Oryzias latipes: one gene and its partners. The protein of the gene in region 1 purifies or fractionates together with the protein of each later gene. This does not show direct contact. Links are inferred from orthologs where the notes say so. Each region holds a gene or a part of one and is shown on either strand. Other genes may lie near its edges.

Region 1 (4,120 bases):
GGAGTGTCATTTTCAACTTTTTTTTTTTTCTTGTTTTTCTTTCCCGCAGAGTTGGAGGAAGCTCTTCAGAGAAGTCTTGTGGAGTTCTAAGTGCTTTCTAAATGAAGTAGTTCCTGTTGTTCACCTGTCACGTTGACCTTTTTTACTCAAGGTCATTGTTTTCAGAAGTTATAAATAAAAGTCATGAATTATTTGAATTGATTTACTTCCTTTAGCAGCCAAAGTCAGCAGTTCTTGGGGCAGACAGTGGGTTTTAAAGCTAGTTAGAAGCTGAGGGTTTATAAAAAGTCAGACGTTCTAAACATTGAAGCTATGTGTCACGTGTTCACACACACACACACACACACACACACAGGATTGTGGTGACACAGCTAGATGCCTGGGCTGACCTCGTGACCGCAGACCAACCGCTCCTCCACCTCTCTGGTTTCACTACAGACGTGAGGATTCTCTTTACCGGCTGCTCAGACGTCAGAAATGAATGAGCAGAAATTGTATTTTTTCTACAGAAAAGTTTGTATGAAACATCATTACATGAGTTCAACTTAAAGAAAAAGGTTTTTTGTGTAAAAGTGTGAGTGAATAACAGGGACAGAACGGTTTTCCTAAAAAGTACTCTCTGTGAAAATATTTTTCTTTAATAAAGATATAATAACGGAGCATGACGTTTGGTCATTGAATGTTACATTTGATTATTTTGTTCGGAGAACAGAAAAAAAAAACAGTTTGGAGACCTGTTGGTTGGTAAAATAGATGGAATCTATCTTTGTGGCTTGAAGCAATAGAGATAATGGTAACAAGCACCTGTCACCTCATCAGCGCCCCCTAAAGGTGGTTTTGTTACATTGTGTCTTTGCTTTTTTCTTTTAACTAAAATGATGAAAAAGTGCCACTTGTACAAATTGATGAGAGTTGCAAATGTCATGTTTAACAAACCTGTATGAACTCTGCAAAAATATTATTCAAATCATGCAGAAAACAGTTATTGGACAATACTATTATTTTATATTTACTTGATGTATTCGTCTTTTAGTTTATTTTTATTTTCTAATCAATTTATGACAATTGTTTTTTTGCCTCCTAATTATATAAAAGTTCCAGAAAAAATAAGCTTTCTCTCCCCCTGTTCCCTTTTATCTCCCAGATATAAAATCTTGTGTAAAATAAAATCTGTTGTTTTATGGAAATTCAAATAAAGCATTTTAAAGCTAAAGCGCTCCTCACTCAGAGCCCCCTGTTGGAGCCCCCTGTCTGGGTTGGAGCCTCCTCTCTGGGTTCCTCGGGAAGTTTCTGTGAGGAGGAGGAAGAGGAGGAAGCTGAAGCCCATGTTAGGAAATGTTGTCCCAGGGGCGCTGCTGCCTGTAGCCTGAGGAATTACTGGTCAGGCGGAGAGCTTAAAGCGCCGCTCACTCTTTGGATTGACTGATCGGACTACAGAAACTCGGCACTGCAGCACTAATTATTATGGCTCAGGCGAAAATCCAGGCGAAGATGAACGAAGCGGTCTGCAGCAAGTTCAGCAGGACACTGTCCATGGCTGATCGCTCCGGAAGACTGCTGGAAACTCTGGATCAGCTGGAAATCAGGTACAATAACGGGCCTCGCCATGCGCGTCTTCTTTGGAGGTGCTCTCGTTCGTTTGACACTGTGGCGTAACTTTAACAACTGAACGTGATTGGAAGGAAAAAGAAAAGCTGTTTTTTTTTGACGGATGTTTGTTTTTGTCAGGGTGGAGGCTTTAAGAGAAACAGCATCCGCCCTGGAGCAGGAAAGAGAAGGCATCCTGGAAATGATTCAATCCATCCAGAACAGTCAAGAAATGCGTAACATCTGTGCGGGTGAGGCTGCTAATTCTCTCCCACAACTTACATAAGAGCACAAGTCATCCGCTGCTTAATACCAGTGAAGAGTGGCTTAACTTTCCAGTAATCTTAATTCCTGTTTTTTGCTACTTTGATCCTGTGGTGATAAAAGGAAAACTTTGCGTGATGGTCAAGAAACTGAAAAGAACAATGTGCTCCACCCAAAATGCATCACATGTCTCACCCATAGAGGTCCCATTTCACCTCTGTGTCTTTCTATTAAACCCTCTAAAAGGAACACACTATACTTCTGAGTCCAACATAGCAAGTTTACTACAAGATATAAACTTTTTTTCATGGTATAAGTAGAAAGAAAAATTCTGTTCTTTTCATGGTACCATATTATATTTACATATTCAACATAAGTCCACACATTTTCATGAATAGAAAGGAACAAAAAAAATGAAATTCTTGTTATATTTCTGCCCCTATATCAAATCTTAAAGACCCACTCAGGAAAATTGTGTTTTTGGTGTTTTTAACATGTTGTTGTGGTGTTTTTCTCAAAATGCAGGACATATAGAAAGAAAATTCAGCTCATATTTCCATTTCGGTGTATTTCTTTATTCAAATTGCAAAAGCAAAAATGCCATTTGAAAAAGCTTGTAGGTTTGACGTAGAAGCTAATACAGCAGACCACAAACGTCCTGCTCTTCTCTGCTCCATTCTGATGCATCCACTTGCGGACAAATAGATCCATGTAGGTCTTTTGTTTTCCTCATCCGAGTTGGCTTCCGGCTCAAAGCTGGACGGATGGATATCTCCATTCTTGCAGGCCATTTGAGTTGCATCAGTAATGTTACGTTGGGGTTATAAAGGGCTGTAAATTTGCAGGAGAGCGTTTAAACACATAGATGTCCGGAAGCAAGGGTGGGCTTACTCCACGCCTACGGCCCCACCTACAACTTAGAGGCAGATTTCTAATGAATTCCTGCCGCTCTGCAGAAATTATGTCCTAGAAAATGACACAGGATTTTTTTATTTGGGCTAAAAATGGTATAACTATAATTACAAAACCACTCGGAACACTTTGGAAATAGATCAAAAGACGATTTATTAACATAAAATACATCAAAATAAATGAAATGAGTCAAAAACAGGTTAATAATAATATTTTTTATGACAAATTAAAGCTCTAATTTCCTTTTCTTCTGCAGGAGAAAGGGAAGAGTTGAGCTTAACTGCGAACCGTCTGATGGGCCGGACTCTGACGGTGGAGATCTCCGTTGGCACCATTAGAAACCCCCAGCAGGAGGAGGCCCTGCGGAAAGCCACATCCATGATTGACGAAATCGTAAAAAAGTTGCTGGTCGACATGGAAGGCGGTCGGCAGCAGCTGATGGCGCTGCACGCCGCCTGCGTGACCGAAGCACCGCCTGTCCCCATCGATCAGAAGTTCCAGGTTGTGGTGATCAGCTGCTCTTTGGAGGACCAGAAGAAGATCAAACAGAGGCTGGAGACGCTGGTGAGGAATGTGGAAAACGCTGAAAAGAACATCAAAATTATGGATCATCAAAAACTGGAGAGTGCAAAAACCAACTGCAGTAGTTAATAATCATCACCAAAGCATGAAGGGTGTTTTTGAATTCCACTTTACCTCACAAAGGAGAGCTGCACAAGCATGACTCTTAGGGATCCATGCATTGTAACCAACCCTGAAAAGTACACTGGTACACATTTTTTTTGTAAAAAGGTCAATTTTTACTTTAAATTTTACTACACCGACATAGCTAAAGGGCACACAGTTCACAATGTATGTTCATCAATAAGCCCAAGAAAGAACAAATACAGATGCATCACAGATTGAAGTTCAACCTTTTGAAGACAATATATAATTTTGAGCACATTTTGCAGCAATTCAGTGCTCTGACATATGAGGTGATTGACAATGCAACAACCAGTATTTTACCAATACTGTGATCGTTAACGTTGAAAATAAAATTACAAACATGTCAAATGAAACCACCTGACAGGAAGTTCGTGGAATTTATCTCAGTTGTAGAAAGACTTTTTATTTGTCTTACAGTTTTAGTTGAAAGGATTTTTGACACAAACTCTGTACGCCTTCATCTTCTGCTGTTTTTTTTTTTGTTACATTTTTATGAAACACAAAGAAAGAAAGTCAATAAAAACTGTGAGAAGCCTCTGAATATGCAGTTTCTTGTTTTCACAAATGGGGAATCCTCCTTTATTTTGTCATTTGGTTTGATAAGAACCTAAAAGCACATGTACAGTTCATAAAATTGCACAAGTCAATG
Region 2 (4,090 bases), on another chromosome or scaffold:
CAAACAATAGGATTCACTTTAGACAGAGATCATCTGCCCATTTTTTAACACTTGACACGGCACAGAGACAAACAAGACCAATGTAAGAATTGTATGTTTGCAGGCGTGTGTAACAGCGTAGTGAGACAATAAACATGTAATTCTGCTCTTAATCACTACAAAAGTTATCTGTGCTGAATCCAAACCCAAAACTGCAGCAAGACAAATAAATCACAATATGATCAAAACCCAAGCACGCACGCACACACACACACACACACAAACATACATTTATACACACAAATTAAATGGTAAACGGCATATAATTGATTGAAATATGTCGAGCATTGATTTATTGTAACGTTGAAGATAATTAATCTAAATAATAGAATGTGTCAGAATATTAGCTTTTATCATCAAAATAATAGAAAAAGATGTTTACAACCTAAATGTTCAAATGCCTTCATTTCTATCACTTAGCTTGGTTAGGGCTCCTCTATGTGAATCACTGCATCAATGCACTGAGGATATGAAGCGTGTGGCTCTATGTAGAAGTAATGGAGGTTTCTATGTGCTGCCTTCACATTATCTGCATTATTGAGTCTGGTGTCTCATCTTCCTCCAAACAAGAGACAATAGATTCATAATAGGGTTCAGGTCAGGGGAATGTGCTATCAGCCACAGTAATACTATTAATTGAACCAGCTTTTGGTTCTTTTGGCAGAGTGGGCGGGCCCCATGTCCTGCAGGAAAATTGAATCTGCAGCTCCAATGAGCTCAACACCAAAAGGCAGCATGAAGTGCTACAGAACTTTGTGTAGACTTCAAAAAAACATGGACCTACATCATCCCTGACTGTGGAAGCTTCACAAGACCCTTCAGGCAACATCGGGTCTGTGCGTCTCCAAATGAAATACAACCTTTACTTTTGGACCACTAAGCATCTGTCTGGTTCTTTTCTAATGAGCCCAGGTAAAAAACAAAAAACAAAAAAAAACGTCTAACTCTGATGATGGTGAAATAAATCAGAATTTTGCATGGATTTTCTCTGTTGAAAGTCTTTTTTCTTTCCACTCTATTTTCTGTTAATATGCTTGGACAGATTAACTACCATGATTGCATATGGACTTACATTTGTCTGATACATTTGAAGGTTCAGGAAACCTTTGCAAAAATAATCCGTTACAGTTTTTGATACTTTTTATTTTGTCATTTTCTTCTTAATGTACCTAAAGTTGATGAAATGCTCTGGTTTTAAGGTAAATGCATTGATTTGTAACTGCTGGTGCCTTTAAGAACATGTGCAAGTTTGATTTTCTCATCCCCACAGAAAATTCTTTTTTGTTAGAATCCCACAATAAAAGCACAAGTGAACTGATCCATCTTCAACACCTAAAGGTTGTGATCCTTTGTTCTGGTGTTATGATTAAGAAAACCCGACACGAACGGCTAGGAGAGAAAAATCAAACTAGTTTCTGACCTTTTTGCAAATTGCCGATTGCCTCATCGTAGTTCTCCAGCTCCAGGTGACACTGGCCCAGGAAGAAGTGGGCTTTAACAGACTGACTATCCAGCTCCAGTGCATGCTTACAATCTGTCAGAGCCTTGTCATACTGCTGCAGCTTCACGTGGCAGAGGGCCCTGTTGGTGTAGTATACTGCCACTGATGGATTGCGGTTCTGGAAGACACAATGGGGAAAATAAAGAGTATTTACGCGCAAACTGTTTAGTCTTCGCCATTAGTGTTTGGATGAGAAATCCCAGACGCTTACAATAGCTTTACTATAGCAAGAGGCAGCATCCTGGTACTTGCGGCAGAGGAAAAGCCGGTTCCCCTGCTCCTTGAACTCCTGCGCGGTGGAACTCTTCTCCGGGCTGCCGGCCATCTTCTCCACCGGCTCCGCGGGGCCCGCTTCGCCCTGTTTCCCTATCCTGTTCCCCGTCTCTTCGGCTGGCTAGACAACAGGTTTTCAGAACGTCCCGTCCGGCTTGGATCTCACACACTAAAACACAGGCGCGTGCTGAGTTAGCGATGCACCTGCAATGCGCTGCTTCTTCAACGATCTCTCGGCGCAACGCTGCTGCTTGGTGCCGCTCAGAATGCATTCATTCGGGTTTGCTGACAGTGCACGCCGCTGAAAATCACAGCTAGACTGCCGGCGAATTAACTATTCACATTCGGAAATCGATGGCCATCAGCGAGCACAGCTATTTAAAAAAAATCCAGAACCATTAATTTACACATCCACTCAGGTTTCGAGTAAAAACACCAGATACAAGATAATATATTTAAGTTAACGAAAAATTGTATATTATTGTTACACGACAAGAAACACAAAAATAAGATTGCTAACTTACAAACAAACAGAGGAGGAGAATCGATGCTATGCTAAAATTAGCTAAGCTTTTATCTTGAAATTATTTTGTTTGGGGACATAGTACAGCTTTTGTGTCTCTAATCAATTTTATTGACATTTAATTTAGGGTAGATTCTGGTGAATTGAAGCAGAGGATAGTAAAACCATAACTACTTGTTCAAGGATTTCAATATTTACCACAACGCAGCTCGGTTTCTTCAAAAAACATAAACTAGCTAGTGCTAGCTTAGCCTTTTTGCATTACAGTTGCTTCACGTCCGTTTCAGTTTGTTGGAGGCTTAAATAAAGTTTTACATAGTACCCACCCTTACCTTTAATCAGAAATTTTACATTCAGCTCAAACAGATTTAATTTAGTTTGATATAAAATCGTTACGGATTATTTTTACCACCCGTACGAACTGTCAAGACGGAATGTTGTGGTGCTGACGTCAAACGCTTTACGCTCTAACAACGGAAGCCGAGAGCACACGAATCCTGATGGGAGTTTGCGCAGAGGTTATCTTCAAGTATCATAACAATGTAAAGTTTCTGTGCTCATTTCTGTAAAAGTACTGTGGGAACAAACCCTCATCTGTATTGGGACTGCTCTCATAATTTGGCTTTATAGAATGCCAGCCCTTTATCTTTAATCCTAAATTAATCATAGAGGGTCATTGGAGCTGTGAGAAGAGCATGCAAACAACGTGAAACAGGGGCCTTCTATATGTGAGAAGACCCTGGTATCAGTGCTAGTGGTTAGAACTAACATAGCTGACTACTGATACAAGTAACCACACCTTATCTCTGAGTGATGGTTAGTTGTATAGAAAATAGGTACTGACCTTACATTACGTTAGACAAAATACTATAACAACACCCTATCAAATAAAAGTGTTTGTTTATATCTGATTCGAAATTATTAGTAAAATAATTGATATTAATGGAAATAATTTATTATTATTATTTTGTCTTCCTTAAACTTCTGTTATTGCACTAATCCAAAAGCATTGAAGATGATAAATCTGTTCTATTTGATTTGGTGCTTTTTATGTCTTTACTCATTTTTCACTTTTTATATTAGCTTGATGCCAAATTTTAACATGAGACTTTGCTTATGTTAAGAGAAGCATAAAAATTCATTTTTTTTCTGTATCGCTTTGTCCCTTTCGGGGTCACGGGGCTGCCGGAGCCTATCTCGGCTACTTTGGCGTAGGCAGGGGATGCCCTGGACAGGTCGCCAGTCTGTCCAGGGCAGACTGCGTTTTTTATGCTTTTATGCTGCTGTAAGCATAAAAATGTAATTGAAAAAAAAAAACGTATATATTTTTTAACATTCAGAAAAGTATTTTTTTCTCAAATATGGTTTGAAAATGAAATGAAGCCACACCTAAATATTTCCTGTTATTTTTATGCATCTTTACAATCACTCATTTAAATCTGAATAAGCAAAAATATGAGAGCAAGAAATGGAAAGATGGGTTTACCTGAGGTTGTTTGAGACGTTTATACAAATCTGAAATGTGTAAAGAGGAGTTATTTTAAAAAATATGATCAGAAATATTTGCATTTTTTGCAGTTGAACTACCAATTTTACACACCAAGATACAGAAAAAGACAACTGGGTGGTTTCTCATTGCACTTGTAAAAGATCAGCACAGGAAATCTAGTGTATTGGCCAGAAGATGGCATCATCGGGCTACTCGTTTTTTTAAATGTGAGTCAAATCTTTAATGTAATCTGTTATTAAGTAGT
Region 3 (4,209 bases), about 5.3 Mb from region 1:
CAAAGGTCCACATGATGTTTCGCACAAAGTCATTCCTTAAACCCTGCAAAGAATGCAAGTCGTCAAAACTTGTACAGAAAGAATTTAACAGTAATCAATATCACAATCTTTGTTTAATTTTTCAACAATCTTCCCCCCATTTTTCCATAAAACACAGTCTTGTACTTTTTTCCAATCAATTCATTTGATAAAAATACGCGAACAATACATCAAATCCAGTATGAAAAGTGTTTAAACATAAGTATATCAGATAGTGCTGATCTTTATAAAATTCAAAGCTTAAATAAACAAAAAACCTCACAAATGTGTTTTCACCTCATATCCTTTGCAACCCTCAGTGGTGCTTCTTATATCTCTTCACTCTTAGGTGACGCTGTGTTGTTCTATTATTATACTCTTCATAGTATTTTATATGCACCTAGTCATAATGATAAGGAATACTGCCACCTTGTGGCCGGAGTAGTCATTTAATATCCTGAGTCGATCAAAGCTAAATGAATGCAAATAACGGTTAAATATTTCTTAAACTTTCCTTTTTATTTCGAAATTATAAACACATTGAATAATCTTTGAAAATAAAAACAATATCCAGCTCTTGTTTGTGGTGAAATTCCAGACATTTGAATAGAACTTTGTTACCTGGCTGTTCTCGCCTTCATTGAAGAGAGCAGGGAGGTTTTGCTCTTTTAATACTGATGTCACCTGGCCCAGAGCAAATTTACTGTCCGCAGAAACACCTTCCTGAGTATCAAAAGGCATCAGTGTGTTCATTATATTTTTGGGCATTATGTAATTGAACTGAAAACAAACTAAAAAAAAAAAAAAAAAAAATTCTTGCCCGCCACAAAAATTCTCACTGTCTGAAAACAGCTTTTTGACCCGACCATACTTATTGAGCTCACTAGTAAAGCTACCTGTTCAGGAATTTCTGATTCTTGAGCATCTGATGGGCTGGTAAAGGTTGCAGGCCACGAGGAGCTGCACTCTTCAGCATTTTTGTCATCATCCCCCTCATTCATGTTGTCTAACACAGGCTCTGCAGCCCCATCACCATTTATGCTGCAGAAACAAAGAAAAACATGTGATTTTTGGACAGATTATGTAACAAGAAACACGCCCTTAAGTAGAACATTGCACCAAATTATATCTAACACTATCCTAAACAAAAACTTACCTGTAGTAGAGAAACTTTGACAGGATGGCTTTCTGATACCAGTGCTCTTTACTCTTTTTCTTCCGCTGCCATTTCTGATCATTTAGACGCTGGTAAAAATCTTTAAGCCATGTCCAGTCTCCTGTCTAAACATTGCATTAAAAAAAAACACATTACTGTCAAAAATAAAATATAAATGGAAGAATGTAGAAAAGGGATCCACCCTCAAATCTACCTGAGAGGATCTTCTAAAAAGCTCCTGAATGTCCAGCTCGTCTACAAGCAACGTCCTTCCAACCCGGTGAACAGCCATGCTAACGTGGGACTTGCTGTAAGGAATCTTCAAGAGTTTCTTGATGTTCTGAGGATGATAGAGCCCATCATTAAAGTCTGCCATGTCTTCAAATGTCAGAGAGGTAAAAAAAAGGAAAACTCTCCACAAACCTCAGAGTCTGATACCACATCAACACCATTCCCAATACAATCAATGAAGTCATAGGCAATTCCAAAACTAAAATGAAAACAAAGAAATGTGATACATCAATATGTGTTTAAATTGGTTAATTGTTATTAAAAAGAAAAAAAAAGAAATAGATTTTCAGGTTCAAACAAATACATAAAACGTTTTAAAATGTAATTTGGACCTCCCAATGTACTCTAAATCCAAAAATCTTAAGGTCATATGTCATCATTCAGGGACTGGATCTTTAAGAAATAGATGAGGAACCTGGAAAAGGGCTTGCTTTTGCTGCTTGACCCTAAAACAGCGCTGCCAAGCTGGGGGTTTTCCCTCAGCCAGTTGGCAGGTGGCAGCTTCAGGTCCGTCTTCTCCTCAGGGAGGGCATAAGTGCTGGGGGGGGCAGCAGAGTACTTGACCACAGCACTACTCTTCACTTCTCCATTTCCCAAATACATAGTGGGATCCTGGTGAAGCAGGAGACAAAAACATTCATGTTCTAATTAAACAGGAGAGGCAGACATTTGAAGTACAAATCTTAGTTTATTTTTCCTATGACTATGTAATAAGGTCTAATAACTGCATAAATAAGCCTAATAGAAACAAGGATTGCTTGTTAGTGTATAAACAAGACATAAAAACACAACATATTAATATAAACAATTATATAGCTCATTCTTTTATGTTGCTTACCCGTTTGCTGCAATCCTCTGAGCAGGCAGGACTTCCAATGTCTTTATCATTATCCAGGAGGATCCCAGGATTTCTGTCATCGCCAGCTGTTGAGCTCATTTTTTTTTCTACAACACTTTATTATTCCCGCTTAAATTAGCGAAATAATTCGTCGAACAGCTACATTATTATATGTAATTGGTGTTAAGATAATGACGTATCGTTCTTCCGACTCGATGATCTGCCTCCTGACCTGTCGCACGAATCTGTAGTAACAGAAAGTCAGGGTTCTTTCTAGATAGTTCCAGAGCTTGCGAGGCTAAAATAAACCGCACTACTAGCAAAGGTAGAAAAACGATTCAGCTCAAATCACATCAACTAAAACACATGGTTAGTTTTATATCCTCCACATTAATAATAATTTATACTTTCAAACTTCTCCCACTATTTTCGCTCAACAGAACCCCAACTTACACTGTTTTGCCTCTCTTCTGTATCCAACTCGCTTCTTAGCAGTCAACAAACAACGACTTCCGGTTGGAGGAATGCCAAATGCAACATTGATTGTATTTTTACGTTTTGAAGTGGAACATGTTTTGAATTTTTTTTAAGTAAGTTCACAAAAATATTTTAGAACGTAAAATGATGCATTTAAAAATAAATTCTGTTAAAAATCTAAAATACAAAAATCTTGAACCGGAAGTATTTGCAGTCTATGTTGGTCGATTATCTTTTAATGATTATACCCCATGTAATTGTTGCGTGGTCATCATTATTATTTTTATTATTATTATTATTATTATTATTATTATTATTATTATTTTGGCATTTACACTGTTATGATAAATTACAAACATTTTAAAATAAATTTTGTATTCGTATAAAACATTTAAAAAACTTACAAATGCCTAAATATATGATTTTGTAATGTATTTTGGAATACTTTATTCCAAAATTACGGAAGCTCTGAGCTGCCACTGCGAAAAATATTTTTTGGAACAGCTTCTCGTAATAACGAGAAAGTATCTCGTTATAACGACATACTTTCTCGTAATAACGACATAGTTGTTTACAGTAAAACGTCATCTTCTCGCGGGACATTTCATTCTCGTCTTGATGACCTGTGGGAAAAGATGGAGAATCAGCGGGAGCCTCTTTATTCCTTTTTAAGGGATAGAAATGTGTCAGAGGACAGAATTTCCACCATGAGGAATGACAAAGTAAGTTATACTTATGAAAAACATAGTTTACGTGAGTTTCATATCGATTTAATTTATTTTTTTGTTACTGAATGAGCCTGCCGTGTACTGCGTAGACGTGAGACCAACTAAGACCTCGTTAACTTAAGTATTGTAGTAGCTGCAAGGAAGCTCCTTAGGCGGGCGGTTGTCAAACAGCTCTTTATTAATGTTTCTGTATCTCAGAACGGTTACAGCACGAACCAACAGGCACAGCGAGCTTCTTCTAACTCCAGCGACAACGTTCACCGAACGCACACGCACACACACCCACAGGTAGACCCCGCCCCCTCTCTCCCACCAGTCATCAGCCCACCGCTGATTGACACACACTGTGGTCTAGCATCTTGCAGAAAGAGGGGGGCGCCGGCCACCTGCAGCTCTGTCCAAACTCTGGGTCGTCACAGTATGTAATGTTTTAGAGTTGCAGGGTATAACTCTCTTCAGTATGAACGTGCTGTGTTAACGTCTTTTATTAACATAACTGGTAGCAATCGCTTTTAACAGAAGGCTTCGTGCTTCGTTCATATCCCATAATGCATTATTCTTATTGTCAATACATCTTTACCGTAACGGAGATGCATTCGAGTGCAGTAGGATAAACGTGTATCAAAATATTACAAAGTACACCTCGATTAATGCTGTTATCCTAAGCTAATCATAGCGTATACTTTTATCCTGCAGAAATG
Region 4 (4,222 bases), on another chromosome or scaffold:
AAAAGTGTAAATCAACCCCATTGTTTCCTGATCGCATTTGTTTATAATTTCAAGTTATACCAAAGAGAACAAAATCCTGATAAATATGGGATCCAAAATGAAGAGGAACAAACTTAATGAAATCAAGAGACAACATTCGCTGGTGGGAAATAAAAATAAGGCAAAGAATTTCATTGATTTTGAGGATTCGTGTCTCTGCACGACAGCAGTGCAAACTGCTAGATATCTTAGAAAAACCTTATTGACAGATCACAGGCTTTAATATACATTTAGGCTTTAAGATTGACAGAAAAAGGATTTAGACTCGCAACATCTGCATGAAAGCAGGATATGAAATCACTTATCCATGAGTGGACTTAATAAGGTGGCTACCTGTTTTCTATTAGATCCTAAGGGATTTCCTTCTGTTTCAGCAAAAGTTCTCTGGCAGTCTGAGTCTCTTCCTGAATATGAATGATACTTTTTATTAAATATGAAAACAATCCAAAGGAAATGGAGGAAGTTTCCATCCACCAAAAAAAAATCCTCTTTTGAAGTAACAAAATATGTATCTGAAGTATCCTTATGTAATTTATAAAAACATTTATGCATTTTTTTTATTCAAGCATATCATTCTTTTATTCTGTCATCCTTGTTTTTTTATAAAATTATTATTTTTCTATTGTTGTTTTTTGTGTAATTTAAATGTTGCTTTAACTTCTTAACTTTACCTTTGACTCCCGTGTTTCTTCATTGGGAACCTGGCCTGCTGAGTCCAGGGCAGGGATCTGCAACCTGAGGCTATGGAGCCACATGTCCATCCATTGTGGCTCTAAGGTTTAAAAAAAAAAAGGGAATGATTTGAAGAAATTATAAATGTGAAGTTTGGAACAAAATAATAATAAGAGTTGTAGTGTACTGTCTGAGTGTTTTTTGTTTTGTTTTTTTCAAATAAGCCTTAAAGCTCTTTTTCTGATCCTCTGCGCCACAACACTGTGTAGTTGCTGTTCAGAGACAAAGTTCTTATAGTTTATAAGTTATGATGCAGCCAGAAGATCTTATTTGGTACAGGGTGTAATTTATTTTTAAAGGAATTTGGATAAGCGGCCGTCAGAAGTAAAGCAAGTCCAAATTTGTATGCATAGAAAATATAAAGGCTGTGTTATTTCAATTATTTTAAATATTTAATAACTTTATTTTATAGATGAATAGATGATTGGCCAATACAACATATAGGGTTTTTTAATAATTAGAAAAAAATGTGGGAAGCACAAGTGTATGTATAAAGTTTCGTGTTTTTTTCATTGGGTGGGTGAAAGCCTGTTTTTTGTGTGCATTGGCTTTTATTATGTAATTAACTTAACAAGTTAACATAACAAATAAAATGTTGTAAAACGAGTATGTACTTTTATTTTATTTTGTTTTTATCGAACTGGACATGGTTTGATATGTATTAGAGCTTAGAATTGTCAAACCTGGCAACCTTCTTCTCTTTTTCGCTTACGGCCTGTTCTTGCGCATGCTCACTTCATAGTTCAGGAAGAAAGGAAAATGTCTCTGACGAGGTAAGTCTCTAAGTGAGGCCTTTTGGCGAATAAGGCACAAAATGCGATCGGAGTTTCTGTCTGTGTTTGTTATACATTTATTTGGTTTAATATTAAACGTTAAATATTTAGTTAAACTTTAAACGTTTCGCTCTTTTCTGTGTTTATGATGTTAGCTAATGCTAGCTAGTGCTAACTAGTGAGACGGGGTTAGCATTAGCTTGTACCCTCAAACGACCGTTTCTGAAGTTAGCTTGTTTGTTTAATCTATTACTTAAACACATGTATTTGATATCGTGTTAAATAAACCTCTTTACCTGCATTAACGTTTCAGGTTTGCAGTTTTTGTTCCTGCTACTTTGACGTCGTTTCACGCTGATCCGCGTTTACAGCGACTTGCTAAGTTGTCTTTAAACTGCATTATGTGGACCTGTTTTGCACAGCTATTTACCGGCACCGACCCAGCTGTCTCAGGACCAGCTGGAAGCAGAAGAGCGGATTCGGACCCAGAAATCCTATTCCACTGCGCTGGTTGCGTCCCGTAAAGAACCCCCTCCTTACGGACACAGAAAAGGCTGGGTTCCGCGTGCATTTGAGGTGCACTTCAATGGATTACACATTGGTTCACTGCCTAGTTTCGCATTTCTACAAAACATTCTGGGTGTTCCTAGGACTTCGGAGATGGCGGGGCTTTTCCAGAGATTCACGTGGCCCAGTTTCCTCTGGAGATGGGCAGGAAGAAGAAGACCTCTAACGCCCTGGCAGTTCAAGTGGACGCAGAAGGGAAAATCAAATATGATGCCATTGCCAGACAAGGACAGGCTAAGGATAAGGTACTTGAGCTTTTCCTCTTTCTGGCAGTCAGTGAGGAGCTTTAAAACCCTATTCTTGCTCTTAGTGTCCACAAATACATGAGAGGTTCTGACTTCTTGGTTCTATTCCTATCAGACACGGCTGTGTTTTATTTGTATTTTTTCACATAAAAAAGAACCAACAAGTCAGTTAATAATACAAGACACGATGAACTTTATCAAACTAACATGAGAGGTTCATTATATGACTTGACAGATTCTAAATTGACCTCTAAAAGTCCAGCTGAAGAACCGATGTTCTGGATGACAGAATCTCCACAGAAATGTGGGACCTAATCTTAACTTTGGTAATACAGCTTGGTTTGGTTGTCATTTAAAAAAAATGCACACTATAGTGTTTTGTTTTTTGTAAAAACCATGTTTGATCCTTACATTTCTATTGGTGTTCATACACGACACTCCAGACGCATGTGGGAGGAGCTACCGCCAAACGGTTTTAGCCTCATTGCTGCAGACAGGGATGATGTTGAGATATCACGTTTTTCTACTTTGAAGAGCTCTACAAAAATGTCGATAGGCACGTCTCCATGTCTTGATCAATGAGATCATCCAGAGACTCCCACATCTGCTCCTGAAAGGGAAACCCAGTTTGACGACTTTCTGTTCTGCATTCAGGACCTTTTTTTGTGTGTCTTGATCCACTTATAACATCTTCAACGCATCCCGGTCCGAAGAGGAGTCCCTGATTGGTTGACGCGGCGCATCTTGTTTGCCGAAGTTCATATTTTTGAACTCTTGACGCACCGCAACAGCCAAAAAAGCGCGCGGCTGCCAGACTGGTGTGCAGCTCCAAAATCAAATCTGATTGCTTCTTTACGTTAAGCTAACATTAAAACTGGACACTCCTAATGCGCAAATGGCATTTAGTGTAAACGCAGCTTTACACAATCTATCCTATTCTATGAGTCTGCATGTTTTGCCATATTGGTAAATTTTGAGTGAGATTATTTCTATAATTTTCTTCTTGATTTTTGTAGGTGATTTACAGCAAGTACACTGATCTGCTCCCAAAAGAAGTTCTTAATGAAGACGCTTCAGGCCTTCAGAAGCCGGATGAGGAGGCTGTAGAAGAGGTAATTTGCTGCTCGGGCTCGTGCAGACATTCAGGATTCATTCATCCGATTTGGTGAAATTGTCTTTCAGCGTGCCCTTACTTATTGTTTTTAATTACTGTAAGCATGTGTAGTTTCTCATGGTTGGGGATGGATGCTCTTTGCAGTTGACTGAGAAGACTCGGGCCGCTCTACAAAAGCAGGTGTCGCAAAAGATTGCTGCAGCCATGCCTGTCCGGGCCGCCGACAAACTCGCTCCTGCACAATATATCAGGTAGCAATTTACCTGAATCATAAACAGTACTTCTATTTTAGATCGAGGACTTCTTTGTTGTTCCATCAGATCCTCTTGGATTTTGCAATCACACCAGTTCACATGAATTCAACCAATTCTTGCGACGTTTTTGCCCAATTACTTTTGCCAGCTGCTCTTATTTTAAACACTTTCTCCACCAATCAAGCGTAGAGGCTGAAGCATAAACATCTCTTGTCTAATCGAACATGCTTACTTCTGGAACTATATCAAACAACAAAAGGAAGTATTGAACAGTCGGTCTATCACAACATTTTGCAAATATTGAAGCTGGAAGTTTCCTTCAACGTTGCGTTGAAGCACCAGCGAGTCGATGATTGACGAGAACCTTTCCACCTGACGTTTGCAGAAAACGACTGAAAGTTGTGTAGAGAGTATATGGAGATGTTGATTTACCCTTCATGGGGTTAAATAAAATCCCCTTCAATAAACAACTTTTCAAATATTTCTCCTCCTACAGCT

What was found.
Region 2: the proteins of bag2 (region 1) and stub1 purify together in Homo sapiens (affinity purification with mass spectrometry; 7 studies listed by BioGRID and IntAct, with this or other methods). This does not show direct contact. The link is inferred for Oryzias latipes from reciprocal best matches to the Homo sapiens genes BAG2 and STUB1.
Region 3: the proteins of bag2 (region 1) and edrf1 purify together in Homo sapiens (affinity purification with mass spectrometry; 3 studies listed by BioGRID and IntAct, with this or other methods). This does not show direct contact. The link is inferred for Oryzias latipes from reciprocal best matches to the Homo sapiens genes BAG2 and EDRF1.
Region 4: the proteins of bag2 (region 1) and snw1 purify together in Homo sapiens (affinity purification with mass spectrometry; 3 studies listed by BioGRID and IntAct, with this or other methods). This does not show direct contact. The link is inferred for Oryzias latipes from reciprocal best matches to the Homo sapiens genes BAG2 and SNW1.

The regions. Positions count from the first base shown.
Region 1 is NC_019873.2:24,430,608-24,434,727, forward strand, and holds bag2 (BAG family molecular chaperone regulator 2), read left to right. Parts: upstream 1-1,310; 5' UTR 1,311-1,464; coding exon 1,465-1,586; intron 1,587-1,728; coding exon 1,729-1,838; intron 1,839-3,019; coding exon 3,020-3,414; 3' UTR 3,415-4,008; downstream 4,009-4,120. Other genes in the region: E3 SUMO-protein ligase ZNF451, read left to right, coding at 50-90. UniProt on the Homo sapiens protein: Co-chaperone for HSP70 and HSC70 chaperone proteins. Acts as a nucleotide-exchange factor (NEF) promoting the release of ADP from the HSP70 and HSC70 proteins thereby triggering client/substrate protein release.
Region 2 is NC_019877.2:8,954,557-8,958,646, forward strand, and holds the start of stub1 (E3 ubiquitin-protein ligase CHIP), read right to left. Parts: upstream 2,806-4,090; 5' UTR 2,535-2,805; intron 1,983-2,534; 5' UTR 1,866-1,982; coding exon 1,752-1,865; intron 1,659-1,751; coding exon 1,460-1,658; intron 1-1,459. UniProt on the Homo sapiens protein: E3 ubiquitin-protein ligase which targets misfolded chaperone substrates towards proteasomal degradation.
Region 3 is NC_019873.2:19,100,863-19,105,071, reverse strand, and holds the start of edrf1 (erythroid differentiation-related factor 1), read right to left. Parts: upstream 2,806-4,209; 5' UTR 2,403-2,805; coding exon 2,304-2,402; intron 2,078-2,303; coding exon 1,881-2,077; intron 1,665-1,880; coding exon 1,598-1,664; intron 1,515-1,597; coding exon 1,389-1,514; intron 1,300-1,388; coding exon 1,175-1,299; intron 1,060-1,174; coding exon 915-1,059; intron 742-914; coding exon 640-741; intron 44-639; coding exon 1-43. UniProt on the Homo sapiens protein: Transcription factor involved in erythroid differentiation. Involved in transcriptional activation of the globin gene.
Region 4 is NC_019882.2:3,678,803-3,683,024, reverse strand, and holds the start of snw1 (SNW domain-containing protein 1), read left to right. Parts: upstream 1-1,417; 5' UTR 1,418-1,530; coding exon 1,531-1,544; intron 1,545-1,966; coding exon 1,967-2,120; intron 2,121-2,194; coding exon 2,195-2,356; intron 2,357-3,372; coding exon 3,373-3,468; intron 3,469-3,614; coding exon 3,615-3,721; intron 3,722-4,222. UniProt on the Homo sapiens protein: Involved in pre-mRNA splicing as component of the spliceosome. As a component of the minor spliceosome, involved in the splicing of U12-type introns in pre-mRNAs.